Arabidopsis thaliana: one gene and its partners. The protein of the gene in region 2 purifies or fractionates together with the protein of the main gene of each other region. This does not show direct contact. Each region holds a gene or a part of one and is shown on either strand. Other genes may lie near its edges. The genes, in order: DL1, PEX7, AT3G03960 and AT1G24510.

What was found.
Region 1: the proteins of PEX7 (region 2) and DL1 purify together in Arabidopsis thaliana (affinity purification with western blotting, with the first as the bait; one study listed by BioGRID). This does not show direct contact.
Region 3: the proteins of PEX7 (region 2) and AT3G03960 purify together in Arabidopsis thaliana (affinity purification with western blotting, with the first as the bait; one study listed by BioGRID). This does not show direct contact.
Region 4: the proteins of PEX7 (region 2) and AT1G24510 purify together in Arabidopsis thaliana (affinity purification with western blotting, with the first as the bait; one study listed by BioGRID). This does not show direct contact.

Annotation. Positions count from the first base shown.
Region 1 is NC_003076.8:16,819,750-16,826,993, forward strand, and holds DL1 (dynamin-like protein), read right to left. Parts: upstream 5,268-7,244; 5' UTR 4,788-5,267; coding exon 4,659-4,787; intron 4,292-4,658; coding exon 4,228-4,291; intron 4,132-4,227; coding exon 4,024-4,131; intron 3,937-4,023; coding exon 3,835-3,936; intron 3,751-3,834; coding exon 3,700-3,750; intron 3,575-3,699; coding exon 3,513-3,574; intron 3,340-3,512; coding exon 3,249-3,339; intron 3,154-3,248; coding exon 3,089-3,153; intron 2,892-3,088; coding exon 2,697-2,891; intron 2,445-2,696; coding exon 2,325-2,444; intron 2,257-2,324; coding exon 2,186-2,256; intron 2,047-2,185; coding exon 1,821-2,046; coding exon of another isoform or gene 1,815-1,820; exon of another isoform or gene 1,717-1,814; coding exon 1,666-1,716; intron 1,568-1,665; coding exon 1,339-1,567; intron 1,266-1,338; coding exon 1,126-1,265; intron 1,041-1,125; coding exon 912-1,040; 3' UTR 535-911; downstream 1-534. Other genes in the region: AT5G42070 (uncharacterized protein), read right to left, coding at 165-370; AT5G42090 (Lung seven transmembrane receptor family protein), read left to right, coding at 7,081-7,244. UniProt on the Arabidopsis thaliana protein: Microtubule-associated force-producing protein that is targeted to at the leading edges of the forming cell plate during cytokinesis.
Region 2 is NC_003070.9:10,222,925-10,226,864, reverse strand, and holds PEX7 (peroxin 7), read right to left. Parts: upstream 2,051-3,940; 5' UTR 1,943-2,050; coding exon 989-1,942; 3' UTR 543-988; downstream 1-542. Other genes in the region: AT1G29250 (Alba DNA/RNA-binding protein), read left to right, coding at 2,273-2,392, 2,675-2,723, 2,957-3,019, 3,120-3,184, 3,309-3,404. UniProt on the Arabidopsis thaliana protein: Receptor required for the peroxisomal import of proteins containing a C-terminal PTS2-type peroxisomal targeting signal. Specifically binds to cargo proteins containing a PTS2 peroxisomal targeting signal in the cytosol.
Region 3 is NC_003074.8:1,022,274-1,028,408, reverse strand, and holds AT3G03960 (TCP-1/cpn60 chaperonin family protein), read right to left. Parts: upstream 4,266-6,135; 5' UTR 3,978-4,265; coding exon 3,827-3,977; intron 3,615-3,826; coding exon 3,352-3,614; intron 3,264-3,351; coding exon 3,117-3,263; intron 3,007-3,116; coding exon 2,845-3,006; intron 2,690-2,844; coding exon 2,612-2,689; intron 2,494-2,611; coding exon 2,360-2,493; intron 2,279-2,359; coding exon 2,206-2,278; intron 2,125-2,205; coding exon 2,047-2,124; intron 1,961-2,046; coding exon 1,838-1,960; intron 1,757-1,837; coding exon 1,662-1,756; intron 1,550-1,661; coding exon 1,340-1,549; intron 1,173-1,339; coding exon 1,115-1,172; intron 883-1,114; coding exon 805-882; 3' UTR 518-804; downstream 1-517. Other genes in the region: AT3G03970 (ARM repeat superfamily protein), read left to right, coding at 1-265; ECT1 (evolutionarily conserved C-terminal region 1), read right to left, coding at 4,642-4,683, 4,782-4,919, 5,041-5,253, 5,338-5,886, 6,035-6,135. UniProt on the Arabidopsis thaliana protein: Molecular chaperone; assists the folding of proteins upon ATP hydrolysis. Known to play a role, in vitro, in the folding of actin and tubulin. Contributes to stem cell maintenance through its impact on transcription factors trafficking through plasmodesmata.
Region 4 is NC_003070.9:8,684,760-8,690,001, forward strand, and holds AT1G24510 (TCP-1/cpn60 chaperonin family protein), read right to left. Parts: upstream 3,488-5,242; 5' UTR 3,343-3,487; coding exon 3,144-3,342; exon of another isoform or gene 3,044-3,143; coding exon of another isoform or gene 3,004-3,043; exon of another isoform or gene 2,931-3,003; coding exon 2,612-2,930; intron 2,509-2,611; coding exon 2,160-2,508; intron 2,017-2,159; coding exon 1,884-2,016; intron 1,803-1,883; coding exon 1,750-1,802; intron 1,658-1,749; coding exon 1,555-1,657; intron 1,382-1,554; coding exon 1,215-1,381; intron 1,112-1,214; coding exon 998-1,111; intron 916-997; coding exon 745-915; 3' UTR 512-744; downstream 1-511. Other genes in the region: ALB4 (OxaA/YidC-like membrane insertion protein), read left to right, coding at 1-207; BCP1 (homolog of Brassica campestris pollen protein 1), read left to right, coding at 3,940-4,299. UniProt on the Arabidopsis thaliana protein: Molecular chaperone; assists the folding of proteins upon ATP hydrolysis. Known to play a role, in vitro, in the folding of actin and tubulin.

The DNA of each region.
Region 1 (7,244 bases), on a different chromosome or scaffold from region 2:
ATAACACTAACAAGTTAACAGCAGAAAAGAGTCTCTATGATTTCATCATTTACGCAATCCCTAATCTATCACTAACTCTAAAATCCTTAATGTCAACGAAATTGGATTAGCTGAGAAAGGTTTAAGCTTTCCAATGGAATCGATGAAGAGAAGCAAAAGGGTACCTGAAAGTGAGGTCGTTGTCGTCGTCATTATCAGTTTCTACGACGGAAGACGGCGAAGAAGAAAGAGAGAGTAGTGGATGAGGATGATGCTTTGATGATTTGTTGAGAAAGAAACTGCTTGAGCTTGGCCATGGCCTTGATTTGTGACTACCATTGTTGAAGATGAAACATCGAGGCAGAGATATTGATGAAATGGAATTCGCCATTTTTCTTTCCTCTGTGAGCTAAGAGAAGAGAGTGTGAGAAGATAATGGCCACAAATTCAGAAACGCAAAACAAAATAAAAAAGAGTACATTACAAATTTTTATTTTAAACTATTAGAATTTTTTTCTTATTGGTAATCATATTTAAATATTATACTCTTTTTTTGGGTAGAATGTTTAATATTATACTATTGTTACAGAAAAATTATCATATGCGAAAAATACATTTTATAGTAATTAAATAAAGGGAATAGAGAAAATCTAATCTATGTGGATGTTATAAAAGATACGTAACATATCGGGTGATGGACAAAAAACATTAGAGGCAGGACAAACAATGTGGATGTTATAAAACGATACGTAACATATCGGGTGATGGACAAAAAACATAGAGGTAGGACAAACAATGTGGATGTTATATAAAACGATACTGCATGGTATCGGGAAGATCATCTTATACAAATTACAGACCCTAAATCTCTGCTCCGAGTCTGAGCCACACCGACCAGAACCGAGCAAAACAGTGGACATGACATGCCGGTATCACTTGGACCAAGCAACAGCATCGATCTCGGATTGGGCTGCTCGATACAATTCTAGCCGCTTTGAGATGGCACTGCGTCTCTCCATGATTGCTGGATCTTCGTTCAATAGCGACGAGAGCCTCTTCATCTGTTGGATATCACCATATTAGTTGACTCAGTGTTTACCCGAATGACACTTCTTTAGGTTAAGAAAAAAGGCAGAGAGCACTTACATCCATGGTACCGAGCTCCGCAAAGAAATGGTCGAGGAGACTGCGCTTCGCTTCTCGGACTTGGCAGTATACGATGGACTTGGGGATTGAATTCCGCAGGCCAGCACAGACCATGTTCACGTAAGACAAAACATTGGATCCTGTTGCCAAATGTCTAAAATTTGTGAGATATACGGTACCAGATAATTATTTATTTATATGGGTTAACCTTACCGATTCGTCTGAGATAGGAATCGTTGTAGCGGTCGAAAATGGAGTGTGTGGGGTTACCACCCTTCTCAACATCCTGGGGAAGTTTCCTGAAGAAATCAACAGTGAGGTAACTGCACTCCATGTCAACCAGCTGCAGTGTTGCTTTCTTACTTCCTTCCCGCATTTTATCCAGCGACTCTATCGCCGCATTTGTCACCTCCACTCTCAGAGCTGGGTATTGTTTTAGTTCCTGCACATGTTCAAACCGTCTATAACATTGTACAAAAGTACTAGTTGTTGGAGATATATATATATATATATATATTACTAAAAGAAAAAAGAACGTACCACAGTTTCATTCACAGACTTGTGAACCAGATCCTTTAAGATAGCATGAACCTAATATTTAACCATAGAAAAAAAAAAAAACGGAGAGAGAAGCTTATTGTTTTGTGTTAGGTTTTTGATACATCTTTTTAGAGATGAAAGTAAAGAGTTCATACGGTGTCAACAGATGCTTCAGCAGGGCCTCTGATGGAGACAATAGAAGACTCAATGAGACGACGGTAACCTTGCTCAGGAGCAATCAAGTGAGGCTGGTAACCATCAGCCTCAGTGACCAGCTTCCGGATGTTGTCCATCGCTAGCTGCTTGTCAAATTGGAGTCTCTTCAGAGCCGCAGGAAGCTGGTTATCAAACACGTTGTACACTTTTTCACCACCAGCACGCCTGTGTAATCAACCATAGTCTTAAATTACAATTTTCCTTTTGTAGTTTCAGAAGGTCAAGAGTAGAAATATCAACTCAGACGCTATAACAACTCATGGTGTAATCTTAAACATTTGAAGTAAAAAGAGTCAAAACGTACACTCCATCAAGATGCTCTTTGAATATTTGATCAAAAAGCCGACATATCTCCATTATTGAGTACAACTTCCCCTGCATCAGAACATTAAGTAAATCTTGATAGCGCAATTCAATCAAAAATAAAAGAATACACAATTTACCCCTGCATCAGCTGCAATAGGCTTTCCAAGGCGACTTAGTTCAGTTTCCAGCTCTAATACTGTTTTGTTAATAAGTGACTGAATGCCAGGAATTCTCGACTTGATCACACGTTCTAGATGCTGCGCAACAAATAAAATTGTTGCAATTAGGCTCTGTCCTGATGGTTTTATACAGAGAAACGTGCTAAGCATTGCCATAACTTCGTAGTTTCTTAGTATTTTCTGTCGGCTGCTAAGAAAATTAGCAGCAATCGTGAAAACACTGGCCCTGAAACTCTTATTTACCACTCCTAACAAATTTCACAACGCCAACTTACTTATTATAAAGAACCTGGTGAAGAAAACTACCCCTAGCCTCGTGAAAGCACGTACCTTGGAGAGCATCTTTGCCAAATGCTCGGAACCCATTTTATTAGCAAGGTGCCTATACTCAGTAGTATTGGAAAAGTACTCCCTCTCTCTTTTCCGAGCCGCAATCATGTCGACATTCTTGTTAATATCTGCTTGGGAACGGTTGACGACACCAACCCACGGATATTTAAGTTTAAAAGATCTCCCTTCCAGAATCTGAGCAAAAAATATCATTTGGTAAGTAGCGGTGCACGCAATAAACATTAATGAGGGAACATAAGTATTATGATGTTACTACACAAATTAGCATTTTATAGCTCCAACATCATATCATAGACTAATTACAACACATTTTATTCACAGTAATTCGAAATTCTAGTACAGATGTTCTATAAACTGGGAATTCAACTTACTTCCACTGCATCCGTCCCCTTGTCCATAAGATCAATCTTTGTCAAGACACCAAATGTTCTGTCCCCTGTGAAGATCACCAAGATTATAAGAGACATAGGATGACAGAATAATGTGTTGGGTCTCTTAGGTGGAAAAATGAATTGTTTGTAAAATGCTCACCCGATGGATCAACCTCACGGGAAATTTTAATTGCATCTGAGGTAGCAAGATCTTGGTTTGCAGGTGAGATTGCCAAAATGATGCAGTTGGGCTATAAGGAAATTTAATTAAATAAAAAAAAAAACAGAATAGTGTCAACTCATTTGGCGCTACGAAAACATAACAAATATAGGGAGAATACTTATATATTACCGAATCTAATTTAAACTGGCGATAGCTATCTATAAAACATTAAAGGGTCTGGGAGTAAGCATTTTCATTTACCTTTTCAATGTAGGACCGAACCATGTTTTCAATGTCCTTCACTATACTATCAGATTGTCCATCTGCATCAACCAAAAGAAATTTGTCGTGTCATGCCAAATTATGTATGGTAGAGAATAAAGTCTATTGCCTCATGCTTCATCGCTAGAAAAAATAGACCAAAACTTCTTGCTCTACTGTAACTTACCAACAGCAACTTTTGTAAGCCCTGGAAGATCTATCAGTGTCAAGTTGACAACTGCACACATAGTAAAGAGGATAAAAAATTAGAGAATGAACAAAAAGCACATACAACTGGAAAGAGATTTTGGGTTGTCCTTACCATTGGGAGAGTATATGCTAAGGTGAATGGGAACACTAGAAATAGCCTTGCTGCGTCCAGTCTCTCTGTCAGTCTCATCTTGAATCTCCTTCCTCACAGCAGCTATAGAGGTGATTAAATTAATCAAATATCAATGGAATACAGGAGAAGGTGAAACTTGAACTGCAAATTGAGATAGCCGAAACCCACCAAAATCAGTAAACTTTTTCCTCGGGAGGTGAAGAAACTCTGCATACTCCCGGGTTCCATCATCGATCTTTTGCAACTGTAAGACAAGGGGCCTTCGAGTAACAATGCCTACAAATAGTTACCGCAAATGCATATTGTCATTACTCAAGGAAATAAGCAATTTCATAATTAAAACTAAGTAAGAAGTGTTAACACTGTATTTACCAGATCCACGGGGTAAAAAGTCCTTTCCCACGATGCTCTCCAGGACTGAAGACTTCCCTGAGCTCTGTCAACACAATAAGGATACAACATAAACTTAATGCCACATAGAATTATCAAAGTACAGAAACCCCTCTCCACAACAATCGTAGCTTAAATTAAATGGTTCAAGACCAACTAGTGAAAAAATATCCAAGTCAAAGCCAAGTCAACATTCCTCAATACCAATTGCTTGCAAAGCTAGTTCATAGTAGAAGCTATTAAACTATAATTCCTCACGATCCGGATGTTGATAAGCAAAAACAACGAAGTTTAGGGCAAATTTATCCGAATACCTCAGCTCAATATCAATTCCGAATCGCAAAAAAAACGAACGAATCGTGAGATAGATCGTCAAGCATATAATGGAAGGGGAAGGAGATCGAGATGCAAACCTGACCACCAACGACGGCGATCGCAGGCAAGGAATCCCAAAGAGTAGGTAAAGCGCTGGAGTCTCCATGGTCTCCTAAAGCCGTGCAAGCTCTCTGTATCTTGTTAACCAGAGAGATCAGATTTTCCATCGTCCTCTACTCCTCGTTTCCCCAATATCAAATGAGAAGCCCAAAATACAGTAGCTGCTACAACAGATCGGCGAGATCTGATACCTCCGCCGGTAAAATTTATTGCGGAAGGAGTAGATCTGCGATGCGACGGTGAGCTATGGAACCAGAGAAATAGAGATAGAGAGAGATGAGTTTTTGAATTTGAGTCGATGAAGAATTTTTGCTTGCTAGTGTTGGGAAAAAGTAAAGGGGAAGAAAGCGGTTTATATAAAAGCCAATACAGGGTCTTTTCTTTTCCAAAGAAAATTTGAAACGGCATGGTGTTTATTTCGAGAATTCAAAGACGACGAGGAGTTGACCAAAAACAAAATAAAAACGACGAGGTGTGTCGTATATATTCAACCAATCCCTTAATATTCCACATCTCTCTAACCAGGTAAAGTAATGATAATACTATTGCATGCATGACCAACCATATAAATAAATATAACAAGGTCGATTTTCTTGTAAAAGAATGTAACGAGTTAAAATTCGAATAAAAAAACTATCACTTATTAGTAGAGTAAAGTGATTTCATGTGGACCACGAACATCCTCATTACGATTGCAGTTCAAACGGTCCATAGATTGAGGATTCAAAAAAAAGATAAGAGACGTTAAGGATTATGATTGTTTATTCAAAAGGATGACACTAAACAACAAAATAACTGTAGTTTTGAAAATTTGAATGTATAAAATAAAGATCTTTTCTAGAACAAACCCACTAAATCTGACTAGTAATGTCACATCGATTTTAGATAGCGTTTGCATTTTGGCAAATACTATGTTTGGTTGGTGAGATCCAAACGCTTTTTAGAAATGTATAAAACATAGCACTAACACATTTTTAAACCTTATGTATTGTTTACGCAAATACACGTTATTTATTTTCCAGCTAAGTGGTGAAAAAATAAACCGGTTCACATTTTTTTTTTTAAATGTTACTAATGTTGTGTTTGTCTACACAATTTTTTTAAAAAATGTTACTAATGTTGTTTGAGACAAACACAACGTGTAACTTTGTATCCTACATACTCTTGTATCAATTGTTAGATTTTATGATGTTCATACGTTAACAAATATGTATCATGTGACCAACTTCTATCCCTCAAATTAGAATTTTGAAGTTAGTGAAAACGTGATGTAAAATAGGTTTAACATATGCTTTATGGGAATATGTTGAGACTAATATGAAATACAAATGAGGTTGGAGTGAGACATGCTATGTAATATATTTAGGTATGTAGACTGTATGTCTCCGTAGCAGCTGCATGAATTTAGCTTCCAAAAGCACATATACTTGCACGGGTCACACGGTTTATTTGCAGTGTAACTTTTTCGAATTGCGATTCTTGAACAAAATCTCTAAGAGTACTCTTCTACTACTTTCTGATGTTTTTCGTCATATGTGAGTGGAAGATGTTGGTTTAGTGTCGGGTTGTGTAGAGAGGACAAGAGTTAGACCATAGACACTCAAACAGTCAAACCAATCTATTATAAATAGATAATATCTCTCCGGTTTAGTATTTAAGCTTTCTTTGTATACCATTTATGTTTAATGAAGGTTTCGCGCTTGTTGATACAATCTGAACGAGATCTAAAGAAACCGTAAAAACATTTAGAAATAATACATCTCCAAAAAAAAGTCATTCGGAAAAACATTTTATGATTTAAATTGATGGATAATTTGTTCTCAACTTATACATCCAATTTCCGACCAATTCAAAACGAAATTCATCAATACTTTAATTTCTTCCTTTTTTTTTTTTTTTTTTTTTTGTCAACCGATATAAATTTGAACTCAAAAGATCCAATCCCGAGAGATATTGTTTACATACGTGACATGATGCGGTACGGTACGAATCTTTCGTGCCAACTTATCCGCTTTTACATTTGCACTACGAGAAATTAAAGATAAAGAGAAATTTATGAATTCTTCCCTATCACTCTACAACTCCTTCAAATACACTGGAAACGCCGGCCATTCGGTTGGAATCGGTGAATTGGTGAAATTTTTGTTTCTAGAAATCAACTAATCCGTCAAAGATGGTTTATTCCCTTAATGATGAAGGAAAATGGGTTCTCTTGTTGCTAATAAAATAATGGTATTTATTTTGTTTCTTAGAAAGAAAAAAAAGACTAATTTAATTTGGTTGGTCACACACAACCGTTTTCATCGGAAGAAGAACAAGTTGGATTGATTTTGCTTTGGATCTCACATCTGAGATCAGATTAATCTCTCTGTGAAGTCGAAGAACGAAACCCTAGTTCCCATGGATCTCTCTTCACGCTTCTCATCGATCCTTATCCTTCTCTTGATCTCCATCTCCATAGCTTCGGCTGAGATTCGTAAATCAGAGATCCGATCCGATGATCGTCCAATCATCCCTTTAGACGAATTCGGTTTCACTCACAGCGGTCGTCTTGAGCTTGACGC
Region 2 (3,940 bases):
AGAGCAGTCTACCACCTTCTTCTCTTTTAACAATTTCTAATCCTTCGCAACATCTTCCGCGTGCATCACAACAAAAGTAAAAGATCGTACATGTGTCATTTAAATTCACAAAATTTAATCTCTAGTTTTAACATAAAAAGTCAATACTAATGTGTGTCTATTACATATAGTATGTTCTTGACCTCGTGGATAAAGCAATATTATAGTTCACTTTAATACTATATGATATAATGTCAAGCCCTTTCATATGTTTAACCCAATTATTTGTCTGATTTGAATTTAGTCCAAAAGTTGAGACGGTTGTGAGTCTTGTGACTTGACAAAATGTGTTTTGAGATCTTTTGTTTGGGATCGGAGTACTATATTAAAAAAAAAATCATAAGAAAATAAAAGAATCTTTAATACTATGGAATAAGATAAAAAAGAGAGTGGTATAATAGTAAAGTAATAAGTAGAAAGTGATTCTTGAAATGGAAGATCCGTAAGAATGTTCTTGTGATTTTAATAAGCTTCTACCTGAAGACGCATAAAATGCAAAAGCTCGAAACTGCAATATGCTCTAGAAAGTTATAAATATGTACATTTATGCCACTCAATAAAGTCAATCAACTATGAAAAAGAACAAAATTCGAATTCTACAGTATACTATAAAAGGTACATTACCCTAAAGTAATTGACTTTATATATATTATGTCATTACTTTGGACATTATAGAAGATTAACATATATCTTAGTCCTAATATATATGTTAATCAGGTCTCATTGTAACAGGTTAACATATACACTAGAACATAAGCAATCTATCTACTATTACCATCAATCACAATTCGAAAGATAACCTTGTTCATATGTGAAACTCTCAGTAACTTACATTTCTTCTTAAGCAAGATCCCAACTTTATTCCAACTACATTCCTTTAACAAAAACCAAACCAATTCCACAACAAATAAAGATGAAACTGTTTTGCAATCACAAACTTACTTATGAATCAACTGGCTCTAGGATCCATCCCTTGCTGCCAAACATAAACAAGCTCATCCCAACCAGTACTCGCCATTAAACCTTCAACAAGAACACTCATATCGATCCCAACAGCAAACTCTGTATGATGATCATACCTACCAACCAAAGCATCTTCCACCATATAGTCCCAAAGACAAACACTCATATCATAAGAGCAAGAAGCTATCAAACTCCTCCTATGCGGCGAGAATTTCACCTTCCTCACCGCATATCCATGACCATTAAGCACAGCCAAAGGAACTCTATAACTCCTAACATCCCAAACCTTAACTGTCTTATCCACTGAAGAAGTAGCTAAAATACAATCATCATACTTATTCCAATCACAAGACAAAATCTCAAAATCATGAGCAGGGATGATCATAGTTGATCCAGGTTCTCTAACATCCCAAATCCTTAAAGTACAATCTCCAGAAGCAGAAGCAAACACATCACCATGTTTAGGATTCCAAACTGCTTGATAAACGCAATAAGCATGTTCCTTAAAAGTCCTTACACTCGCCGGACGATCCATAGCCCAAAGCTTAACCGTATCATCCCACGAAGAAGTGAGAAACGAATCGCGCCGCGTGGGATTGTAATCCACAGATTGAACCTCACGCGCGTGCTCTTGGAATGATCTAATCGGATTAGAAGGAGGAGGAAGAGCTGTGTCGTAAATCTTCACTGAGCCGTCACCAATTGCGGCGATGAGCACAGAGTCATGAGATTCTGACCAACATACGTCGTATACAGCGTCGGCTGTATCGTACGAGACGGATTCAGTTACGCCTGGAGCTCCAGGAGCGAGCTCGAGGACATGGATTCGGCCGTTTCCGAGAATTCCGAAGTTCTGAGCTGTAGCGACGGCGAGGCGTGACTCGTAGAATGGACTGAATTTCACAGAGTAGCCATTGAACGGAGCTTTGAACACCGGCATAGCTTCTTCTTCTTCTCCGGTGAGTGATTGAATCAAAAGAAGAGTCTTCTCGAAGATTCAATTCAACGATCTGATCGGATAACGCCGATTTTGCTCATCGCAGAATTAATTTTCCCCCCAATTGGGCCTATTGGGCTGGAGCCTAGCCCATTTGTGTAGGTTGTGTTAAAACGATGTCGTTTGGCATTTCAAGTTAGGGTTTTTTGGGGGTTTGGTTCAAGCTTCATCGTCGTCTCTCTGTCTCTTCAATTTCATTCGTTTTCTGAGATAAAAGTGAGAGAGAAATCTAAATTCGAGAGGAGAAGTTTTAATTTTTCTGAGTTAGATTCAATGGAAGAGATCACGGAAGGAGTTAACAACATGAACTTGGCTGTTGATACCCAGAAGAAGAATCGGATTCAAGTTTCCAACACTAAGAAACCATTGTTCTTCTACGTCAATCTCGCCAAGGTAACGAAACCCTTTTAATCGAATCTTAATAAATTCGTATTTAGATTGAAATCTATGGATTCGAAGTGTTCTTATTTGAGTACCAAGTCTGGAAATGTCTGTGATTGTTCATGAGTGTTAATTTATCTGTTATTGACTTTGATGAGTTATTACTGGTGGTTCTGTGTTGTTTATGTGACTCTTTATCAATGTTTGTTCCTTAGATTTGTGAACTTTGTTTTGCTCTTTAGATTTGATTAAACCTGTTTATGTTATTGACCATGTTTGGTGTTTTGTTAACAGAGGTACATGCAGCAGTACACTGATGTCGAATTGTCTGCACTAGGAATGGGTAATGTTTATTCTTTATGATCTTGTTTATATATCAAATCTAATATGTATGGTTTTTAAACTATGTAACTGAGTTCATTAAATTCAAAGTTATTATCAGAAAAGCTGTTTCCTTTTATTGTTATGACATAGAATCTTTTATCTTCTGTGATTTTGTAATATCTTATCCGAGCTTTCTTTATTGGAAGAGTTTATTCTGGTTTCTCATAAAACATTGATTTGTGCGTTGTGCAGCTATTGCCACTGTTGTTACGGTCGCTGAGATATTGAAGAACAATGGCTTTGCTGTTGAAAAGAGTAAGATCTTCTTAATCTTGAATGAGTTAATGTTAGCACAAGAGATTTGAAAGATTCAGTGACTAAGTTTTGCTTATTTGGATATTGTTTTTTCCTGCAGAGATCATGACATCGACTGTGGATATCAAGGATGATTCAAGGGGTCGTCCTGTGCAGAAAGCTAAGGTATATATTTTCGAATCATTTGATAAATTGCTTATGCTGTGGAATTCTAGCTTCCGTCTAATGATTTTTGTTCTCTGGGAAATTGCTATGTTGGTTGCTAAATTGGTGACACTGTGACTTGTAGATTGAGATCACGCTTGCCAAGTCTGAGAAGTTTGATGAACTAATGGCTGCAGCTAATGAAGAGAAGGAGGCTGCAGAAGCCCAAGAGCAAAACTAGATTGTTTCAAGTTTTTTCTGTTCAACGATCTTATTTCTTCGTTCCCTATCTCTATCTGCTTAATTTTAAGACACTTCTATTTCGTTAATTTTTGGTTCACTTTTTTATTTCACCTTGGATTGTGTCCTCTGTACCTCTGAGCATTTTTATTTAAAGATCGTAGGAAGTATAAAAAAGATGGCTTCGTTGCATAAATCAGCTTCCAACCTTATTATGTAGAGTAATACATGTAGTTGAAATTTTATTTTGAAGACTTGGAATCTGTCCATAAAAAAGGTTAGTGATATGGCTTATGGATAACAAATCACTATCTCTGGGATAATTGAACAAATGTAAGCCACATGATACATATGTGACATCATGAGCTATAAGTTATAACTAATGGCTATATCTAATTTTTTTCTTTTTGTCAGTTCTTTTAGTTTAACACTAAAACGTAACCATACTAGAAGAAATATAAGAAAGTATTATAGTGTGCAATAAGGTTATTACTTGCTAACTAATCACTTTGGTTCACATTCTTAGCACCAATAAAC
Region 3 (6,135 bases), on a different chromosome or scaffold from region 2:
GTCATCATCATCAATATATGATACCTCTGGTACTACAACTCCAACCAACACAACAGAAGATATCTGTGAGAAACCAAAAACAGATTTGGATTCTGAGGCCAAACTTAAGACAGTGGAGACTGAACTAGACCCACGTCTGGGACGGAGCAAGGGTGTGTTAAAATTGGGATTGAGTGTCTTCTCTATTGCAGTTGCAGGGTTTGCTTCTTTCATGTGGATGTATCTCCAGGATGATATGATGCCTCCTCATCTTGTTCCGACTTAAAAAGTCTAAGGGATGAACATTAAAAAGCTTAGAACTTACATAGGTTCAAATTCTAGCTTAGTTCTCTTGTTCTTTTGTCAATGTGTGGATCATGTTCAAATACTAGTTTGTTTGTTTTCTTTTTCCTAATGAATTTGTCACTTGTTCAAAAGTCGAAACAACTGTTAACCAGACATATTTACATAGGTTCAATTTCTAGTTAGGTTCTCTTGTTCTTTTGTCAATGTGTGGATCATTTTCTTTTCCCCGAATGATTTTGTCACTTGTTCAAAAGTCGATTCAAATAGAAACCAAATTGACATTAATACAGAGTTAAGCCAAAAATCCTAGTAATAATTTCACTAGCTAAACCGGAAAATCTGAGTGTTGAGACGAGCCAAAACAAGGCAAAACAGAAAAAGAAGGCAAAACACTTAAGTTGGTGGTGCGTTACAAAGATCACAAATCTTAAACTGAGACATACCAAAATTTTCTCAGACTTTCAGGAACAGAAGGTTACAAAAGAAGAGAGTTTCACTACGAGGTATTTGTTCTCCGGCTTAGTCTTCCTCCGCACCAGCACCTGCAGCTTGAGCTGCATCTCTCCTTGGTCCACCTGCTGGTTTCGCCATTATAATCTGCACATTTTACATAAATTTTGAGTATAAACATGCATGTTTTAGTAGATGAGATCAATCAGTGGAACTGAATATTGAATCTAAGAGTTTTCACGAACAAGGGACTTAATCCTGGAAGATAATGCATTCACCGAACAATATCTTTTTACTTCATGTGATGAATCAACACTTTACAATATAATAAAAAATTGCTCCGTTCACCAAAGATTAAATCAAGTCAGTTTGTGCATACCTGGTCTACACGAAGTACAGTGCATGCAGCATCTGAAGCATATTTAAGGGCAAATAACCTGCACAGAGACTTAAGCGTCTTAGTTATCAATTAAAGTGAATGGTAATCTTTGTAACCAGTCAGAAAATTCTACTCCAGTTTTTATATGTTCAAGAACAACTGCTAAGCAAGTATAGAGACGTCTGATAGAAATATTTGATGGCAAAAAGACAGTCTGAAACTTACTTGGTTGCAAAAAGATCCCATACTTTTGTCTCTGAAACATCTTTACAAGCACCTTCCTCTAAGTCAATGCCTAGTTTTGTGTTTCCAGATCCATGTCCAGTGTACAGAGCGGCTATGATTTCCATCGCATTGAGGCCAGCATTATCTGCAAGGGTCTTGGGTACAAACTCAAAACTCTCAGCGTATTTGGTGATGGCATATTTGTCCAACCTGAAATTTCAAAAGCGAATCCTAAGTTCAGTCCCCAAACCATAGACAGTTTTGCTTTAAAAGCTAGCCTCACATGTTTAATTTTTGAAAAAATGAAGTAAAAGAAAGTTACCCTATTTCTGCATTGGCGTATTCCTTCAACCTTTGAGCCAACTCTATTTCAGTCGCTGCAGCCCCGGGAACAATACGGCTGTCTCTGCACATGGCCTGAAAATAAAATTGAAGTAATAACAGTCACAAATTAATGAATTATACGATATAGATGGTACAAATGAAGCTAGATATTACCTTGTATGTGTTAACTCCATCATCAACAGCTCTCTCAAGGTCGTCCAAAATGCTATCTGTGCTTCCACGCAAGACCACAGTGGAGATGGAGTTACCACCTTCCTCGTTTCTTGCAATCGTGACCTAAAAGAAGACCGAGAATTGTCTATGATTAATGAAAGACAAAAATAATTAACCAAAAATATTGGAATTGACTTCGGAGTACTTACTGTCACACCACCAATTTCCTCAACCGATATAGAATCAACATATCCAAGATCTTCAGGGCTTGGCCGGCTAAGCTTCAACTGTTTGATAATTAAAGGATTAAAAGCTAGGATAAAACCACCCTTAGATACTCATTCAGATAGCCAATTAATAACACTTACATGGGCGACAGCCCCCGCTGTACGGCAAAAACGCCTCAGTTCAAACTTTGAGCTGATTTTCAATACCATTATCCTGCCAAGAAAAAATGGGGTATCAGAATGCAGACAATAACAATAGCTAAGACGAGTATAACATGATATGGTCTACACATACTTGTAGCGCTCACAGAAATGCAATGCCATTTCTCCAATTGATCCTCCACTAACAATGACTTTGGCTCCTGATTCCGCAACTGCTTTAATCAACTCCTCAACTTTAGCTTCCTCTGTCTTTGCATAGTTCTCTAGCTACAAATCCAATATAAAAAGAGAAATTTGTCACAATAACGATTACAAATACACAACCATCTTTGAGGAAGCCATAATCGTAATTTTGAAATTTTAGAAAGACAGTAACAAATCTAACCTGCTCAGCACTATGAATGAGGACAGTTCCTTTGGTCTCTGTTGCAGTGGTATCAACGCCACCAGCAAATACAGCAACCTGAAGAAAGCATAACAAATTGATTTAGAGACATTAAGCTATCAAAAACAGAAAAGACAAACCCACAAAGCTATATTTCATAGGGGACCCAAACATTGATCAATTCAGACAAAAAAAACTTTGTCAAAAGCATAAACAAAAGAAAGAGATCTCACCTTCGCTTTCTCCATTCGCTTAATGCTACCAACAGCATCACTTTTCAAGACCATACCACGGACTATGCAAGAATTGTGCAAGCCTCCTCCCAAAAGCTTGGAAACACGAACATTATCCACATTGAAATTCGTTGGATTCTTTGGGCAGACTTGAATACATGCCTAGAAATAATATGAACCCATCAAGTAAAATCTAAATCTGCAATAAACTTGAATAAATAACAATCTGAACAACGAAACAGGAAACAAATAGATAGCAAGGAATATCTTACGTCAGTAACTAAAGAGCAAATTATTTCCTCTTGCCCAAACTGCTTGCTTGCAACAGCTGCTCTCATCCGAGAAATAACTTCATCCTTGTTACGTACATCCATGGTCTCAGAACCAGTCTCAACCAGTTGTTCCAGTATTTCAACAGCCTGCATAATCAAAATCCAATAGCATTCGTCAAATACTCAAGACAAACAAATTGAAAAGCACAAAACAGTAATTCAGGTATTCACCAACCTTGCTGACAGCTTTAGTATATCCACTAATGATCTCACTCGGATGAAGTCCCATCCTGATAAGCTCCTCAGCGTTTTGAAGAAGTTCACCAGCAAAGGAGATTGTCAGATTAGCTCCATCTCCGATTTCTTCTTGCTGAGCCTTAGCAGCTAAAACCAGAAGTTTAGCAGCCGGGTGCTGAATCTCGAGCTCATTCACTATAGTAGCAGCGTCATTTGTGACAAACAGTTTGTCCAAATGATTGATAACCATTTTATTCATTCCTGAAACATTATAAACAGAAGAACTCAGTTCTAATCCGAATCTGAATCCCTAGAAAAAGACTTCACCTTTACAGTAACAGATCAAGCTTGCTTAAACTATACACAAGCGAGATCCTACTTACAACACTCAAGTAAAAGTAAAACGAAACGGAGAAAACGAGATTCATCATTTCAGTATTAGATCAAATCCCAATCAGAGAAACATTACGAACCATTGGGACCGAGAGAGGTGCGAGTAATGGTGGAGAGCTCCTTGCAAGCTTCAATGTTCTTAATGACGGCTTCGTCGAGACCAGAGAGATGCCTGTAACCTTCTTTAAGCATCGATTGAATACCATATGGCTGCATCGACATACCCACCATTTTCTAAGGTAACGATCTATAAGCTTCGAAGTTGGGTCACTCGAAACAATAGAGCAAAAACCCTAAAAGCGAAGAAGAAGAAGCTCTGTGAGATTTTCGAAGAAGTTTAGAGAGAAGGTTTTCTGTGAGTAAAAGTGGCCGAGATTGCCCTAGAAAACTTTCGAGGTTTTAAAATGGGAGTTCACAACGGTGTCGTTTTAAATTTTAAGGGGATGGGGGCCAAAAATTGAGATCTTAAATCTTTAGGGGTGAAAGTTGTATTATATGAAAGTTTAGGGACGAATAGAGAACACCATTCCTTCTGGTTTTTGTGCTAAACGGTGTCGTTTTAACTTTTATGGTGATGTGGGCCAAAATGTGAGATTTTTGACATTTACGGATGAGAGTCTTATTATATGAAAGTTTAGGGACTAAAAGAGAAATAACTTGAAAATAACATGATATGAACTTTGAAGGAAAGCCTGAGTTTTTGTTTTATCAGATGTGCGTCCCCTTAAGAGGAACAAAAGACAATGTAAGTTTTGTTTAGATAAGCAGAGAAAACACACAGATTAAAGATGTGTATTAGGTTTTTAGAAATCCCAACCCTGAAGAAAAAACATAATTCAAAACTAAGTTCTTTTAATTAAGTCATCTTCTTCTTTCCTTGCATTGATTCCATCTTTCAACTCAAGTTAATTGTTTCCCCCGAAGCTCCATCAAGGGCCTAATATAACAAAACAATCAAAATGAAACAATCCCAGAGACTGTATCAAGAGGGGTGGTTAATGTGCTTTAGATGCAGCAGGGTTTAAGGAATTGTACCTGTTTCTTTTGCTTGATCTTCTTGTCTCTGATGATCTTCTGCCTTGTCTCATAGAACTTGTAATCATCAAGTATACATGTCTTGCTCATATACTCCTTGAAGATCTTTATGATCTTGGTCCCATGCTCCAGATTCACCTGTACCAAAACCATCACCGTACAGTTTAAAAGCCTGACTAACAGCCATAATCATTATTTATTAGAATTCAATTAGGCTTCAAACATGTCCAAGAAAGGGTTTAGGGGAAGTTCAACGGACCTCTTGAGTGTCTCTGCTATTAGTGACAGGCTTGTTCTCGTTATTCGCCAGGGTAATGTGTCTTAAGAGACTGTTTGGTATGTCTTTGATGATATGCCACTTCACAGGGAAACAACCAATCCATTTATCTTGCTGCCAATACTCCATTGTCTTGTTGAAATCAACAGGGCCTACCATCTCCGCAAGACCAACAAATTGCCCACTTGCATTCACCTGTAGATAAAACCGATTACAGTGAGTTACTTAATGTAAATCTGAAAGGATATTGCACAAGACGTGAAGTAACCTCATACTGACCGAGAACAGAAGATACACAGGGCATTCTTGGGAGTTTTCTTTGGCTTCATAATATGCAGCATTCAACTTCTTGTTGCCAGTTGGTGTGCTCGACCATGCACCATACTTAATACAGTTATGAACATCATCTTCGCTGTATGACTTGATCACAAAGAATTTTGCTTTCACAAATGATTCAGGGAAATTCTCCCCATTGTAGCGCTGGAGATCTACTGCTGAAACGTCTTGCTTCATTGCATCTAGCATTGAAGAGTTAAGAACTTGTGGATTCTTGAAATCACTACTCCTTGGTCCTCGACATAGCTCATTAAGCCTATCTGCTTTCTCATCACTGTAACCACGCCCATGATTGAAGCTTCTGGTCTTTCTATAACCATCAACGGGATACCATCCTCGCCCAAGTTTCCAGGAATCATAACCAAAAGTTCCATATGCATGACCAGAGTCAATTACATTCCCGTAAAGTCCATACAATCCATGGTTGGAATACAAATGATCATTATATCCCAATTGGTCAAAACTTGGTACTTCTTGTGAGCTGTGTGGATTCTGTTAAATAAAACAGTTGTAGCCAGTAATTAGACAAAAAAAAAATCCCAAGTCCCAGCAGAGATGACGAAGAGAACAAAACACACATTCTCTTGACTATATGAAGACAGAAAAGAGGCAGAGAGGTCATGTGAAGTAACCAACATACCATGAGATGTGAAAAGGAACTGTGATTGCTGTTGCGGTCATAACCAAACCTCGGATCAGGGTAGCCACCAGAAGGATAGTTTGCTGGGATGTAACCCCACG
Region 4 (5,242 bases), 1.5 Mb from region 2:
GCACATGAACAAGATGAAAAATCTGATACAGCCATTGTCGCTGAAGATGATAAAAAAACAGAACTTTCTGCTGTGGATGAAACATCCGATGGCACAGTAGCTGTGAATGGGAAGCCATCCATTCAAAAGGACGAGACTACGAATGGGACATTCGGCATTGGCCATGATACAGAACAACAGCATTCTCATGAAACAGAGAAGAGGTAAAGACTCATGTTTTCATGTCTTAAGGCGAAGCCAAACAAACAAAGAGGAATTGAGATTTGAATAAGACGAGGAGAAATCTTGGTACTCAGGCCTTGTAGTCCCTCTGCAACAGATTTCGAAGTTTATAGATCTTAAGAGTGGGAAACATTAGTCTTCAGGGTTTAGATTTTGTGTACAAAGACCATAGCAGATGGGTATTTGAAGCCTTCGAAGCTTGGTTTCATATTTCTTATGTTCTTATGTACAAGCAAACAATTACTTTTGTCCTCGTTCACTGGTGTTACACTAATACGATAATAGTTTAGTCTACAGTATGAGACCTGCATCAGTTACTAAATCGAAAAGAAAATGCAAACGAGTGCTTCGATCTGTGGACAAGTACACACAAAAATTAAGATCTGACGATGTTCTTAAATAGAAGGTTGCAAAACAAAGGGAACAAGTCAAGGATAACGATGTCGAAGGGTATCAAAAGCTAATAGAAAGCAAACAAAAAACACCGAAGAAGCCAAAGGTTAGGACAAAGGTAGCAACAAATCAGTATTCAGAATTGGAGATGACATCGTCGATCTTTAGAATCATCTTAACGACTTGCGTAGCTAGCAAAATTTGTTGCTGTTTCCCGATCAATGTTTCAAACACATTTTGCTCCCTCATATCGTTTGTTCCCACGTCATTGCAATCTATTCCATAGAAGGGAATATTCTCCTGTTCATCAAAACCCAATGTTTGTTCAGTCACCGAACAAGCAAGTCAATGATATAGATAATAAAGTTCGTCGTTTACTAACCTTAATTTGCTGAGATTTAACCGCAGAGAGTGTCTCAATGGGCTGTAATCCACTGTTCTCTGCAAGAGCCATAGGGACAGAGTCCAAAGCTTCTGCAAACGCCCTAATTGCATACTGTAAATGAGGAAGTATTTATACATGATTAGTATTCAGAGTTACAATTTGAGAAACAAATGATTTCATTTCAGGGTATCAAAGAGGAAAGATCATATTTTACCTGCTCCACGCCAGGGTATTTATCAGCAGCTGCATCAACCGCAAGTGAGCAAGCGATTTCAGCTGCCCCACCTCCATAAACAATTGATTTGTTGCGGATGAGATTCCTAGCCACACACAGAGCATCGTGGATACTACGTTTCGTCTCTTCTATCATCATTTTGTTACCTAAACCATATTCCGCAACAAATCGTTGGATCAATCAGTTATACAATATCGTTGTCCACCATATACTTAGAAGGCATTAGATTCAGTACATCGATGTTTATCTCTCATCAGCTATTCAAAAGTCAAAACAGTGCTGCTAAAGTGCTAATAAGTACAAAAGACAAGGCGATTACCTCCACGGATGAAAACAGTGACAGCTTTTGAGTTCGCACAGTGCTCAATATACAGCATTCGTTCTTTTGTTGTGCCAAAAGATTTCTCACGAACCACGCCAGCCTAAATATATCAGGAAATGTTGGGTTTCAATGGTCTGTTTAAAATCTAATTAACATTTTACAAGCAAAACCTAGTGAAAGTAAAAAAAATACCTTCCCTAACTTCTCTGGGGTCAACTCCTGGAATCTTGGAACAATTCTACCGCCTACAAAAAGAAAAATTTCTGATCAGCTTTGCATAACTGATACAAACACTAGCATTAGATGCTTAAGAGTACTTTACTTACCTGTGGCTATTGCGATAAGTTCTAATTCAACACCCCCTACCCATCTGACAGCAGGCAAATTCCTGTGCATCAATAGATGGTTTGCCTCATCATCGAATCCCCATTGGCAAATAACCAGCGTAGCACCAACATCCTGCAAAGTTAAAATCATAAGGGTCATACATAAATCATATCATAAAATGCATTGTGGTACTAATGACCATTGTCAAAAGGATTTCTTCAGTAGCTTACTCAACATCCAACTGACAATATAAATTAATACAAATTAAAACCTACCTTGCACTTTTGTACCATCTCATCGAAATATTGCTGCTCTTGCTTGCGCAATGTCTCAAACTTTTCCACTGTATCAATGTCCACCTTATGCTTAGTCTTCGGCTTCGGTGGCTCAAAGGGACAAGTCAAAATGGCAATGTGGGCATCTTCAATCTGCTTTGGCATTTGCGGATGACTCATATCTTTGTCAATCAGTATTCCATAAATAAGCTCAGTGTCCTCCAACTTTCCCCCAACTTTCCCCTCTACTTTGATCAGATCTAAGTTAACATCCCTCCTCTCTAAATCAGCAACAGCAAGAACCGCTTTAACAGCAATCTCAGCTAAGCTGCGCTTGCATCGATTCACACTGTAACAATGAGCAAGAAAGAGTTAAGACAGTATACTATAAACCAAGTAAAAACAAGCAACAACTATTGAAAAGTAGCCTGAATATCAAAAAGGAACATTACATCTTCGAGGACAGAGTAGTCATGCAAGTCTGAACCAGAGGCTCATAATTATTAACATCGAATTCAAACTTTTGGGCAATACGCTCCAAATGCTCAACAGCCACCCTAGAAGCCATCTCATATCCTTCAGCAATACGAATGGGATGAATTCCTCTATCTAACTGACGTTCAGCTTGCTCAAGAAGTGCACCAGCCATAACAACAACACCTGTTGTTCCATCACCAATTTCATAATCCTGACTCCGCGACAGTTCCACCATTAGTTTCGCAATCTGGTTGTCAACATCCATTTGCTCCAATATCGTAGCACCATCGTTTGCTGCAAAAGCAAAACAAAGGCGAGGTTACAAACAATATACAAGTAGTAGTAGAGCTGAGCTAAGTTAACAGACATAGCGAATCGATTTTCAAAAAGTAGATGGATCTATTCATCAAACTACGGCATCAACATAGTAAACACTATGCCAAGTAAACAAGAGCGAAACTAGAAATTTAAAAGCAGATATGAAGAAATCAAAAGGAAGAAACGAACTGATGGTGATGTCTCCGTCAGGTCCTTGAAGCATCTTATCCATTCCTTTGGGTCCAAGAGAGGATCGAAGGATCCGAGCCACGGCTTTACCAGCGGCGATATTGGCTTTCTGAGCATCGATTCCTCTAAGACGAGTCTTTTGATCTTGCTCTCTCAGTATAATGAACGGACGCCCGAACTCATCGAACGCCAGCGCCATTTTCGAGCTTCTCTCGATCCGATCGAACTATAGATCTTGGGTTTTTTTTGTTTCCTAGTGCACTGGAGAGGAAAAAAAAAAGTTGAAATGGGGAAAAAAGCGAGAAGAAGAATGTCTGGAAGATTTGAGAGCTTAAAGTGGTCGAGTGTAAAACCCTAACTCGCTGTTGATGGCAGAATCGTAAATCGGAATTGATTCATGGGCCTAACAAGACGTTTGGGCTTATGGGTTTAAAGCCCATCTGATATAAGATGAATAGAATGTTCATGGCAATACTATCATAATTTGGTTCTTTAATAAGACACTCGTTAATACGACGATTTGAAGTTGAACGAATGGTTTCATATTCATTCGCATGTTCACCAATCAAAATCTATATCTGAACAAGTCCATTTTTAGGTACTCCAGTAGATTTACATTGGATTGTAAGGTAATCCTACATCTTAGTTCAAACGTTTTCTATTTTATTTTTGGTCTTGATCACAAAACACAACTATATATACATATCAAACTCATCTTCGGAAATCATCACAATCAATAAACCTCAAACCCTAAAATAAATTAAACGAGTTCTACGTAAGAAGGAGAGAGAGAAGAATGGGTCGCCAAAACATTGTCGTCGTGGTTGCCCTCGTCTTCATGGCCATCATTGGCCTTGCCGCAGCTGCCTCCTCTCCATCTCCTTCAGCGTCTCCCTCCAAAGCTCCAGCTGCCTCCAAAACCGATCATGTCGAGGCTCCAGTCACCGATGACCAAATCGGAACCACCGATGACGATGCAGCTCCTACTCCTGGTGACGGTGACGTTGCAGTGGCTGGTCCTCTAGGAAGTGACTCCTCGTACGACAATGCGCCTACAGGCTCTGCTGATTCTGCCAAAAGCGGTGCGGCAGCTCTTGGCGTCTCTGCGGTCGTCGTTGGTGTTACATCCATTGCTGGTTCTTTCTTGTTACTCTAAGTTGGGCATTGTTTTATGATAAGAAGGTTATTTTAAACGAAGATTATTTATATGTAAGGATGATTGTGATGATCTTGTTGTAATTTGTTTCTCCTTTGTTAGGAGAAACGTTGTCTTTGTAATAATACTGAAAAAAAAAACTTTTCACTAACGGTGTTTAGATACAAAATTCTGAATTGAATATAATAATATACGATTTCGGGGTCAAAAGCCATAATAATTAATTAAGTAAAATTGTAACCATCGTGTATAAATCTTAATCAAAATGCAAACAAAAAAAAAACAAGAAAAAAATATCCTAATCAAAATGCATATATTTATGCATTTAGGGACGTTAAGATTACTCAAACTCTCTATCACTAGAGGAGATGATACAAGATTTAAGACTAGCCTTTGCCAGAGAATCAGCCAAAGTGTTCTCGGATAGAAATACCAAATAAAAGAAAAGGACATATTTTTTAAACTCCAAATAATAACTCAAACTAATAGACTAGATTGAAAATAAGTTTTGTCTCCAGAGAAAGAAAATATATTACATTGGAATTTTAAAGGTGTGAATGTGATGAGGAGCCAATTTCATGGTTGGGTTTGGGGAGCTTCCACTATAGAAGCTCAGCGAGGGACCCATACAAGGAGTGAAGGAAGAGCCGTACGCGTAGTAGTGTATACGGGTTCGTATTGGTGTGTTGCACTTTTGGTCCTAAACTCAACTAATAATACCTATTTTCTTTTTCTTTTTCCTTTTTCTTTTTCGATCTCTTTCTTTCTTTAGGATCTCTTTAGTCTTATCTATCAAAATACCACTTCGTATTTGGGGTATTCCTATCAATAACCAACCATACAAAGCATCAATGCATCATTCTCATATTCATATATCATACTTGATAAAGAAAGTTCCATATTCACTGACTGTCCAGATATTTATTATTTGAAAAGAAAAAAA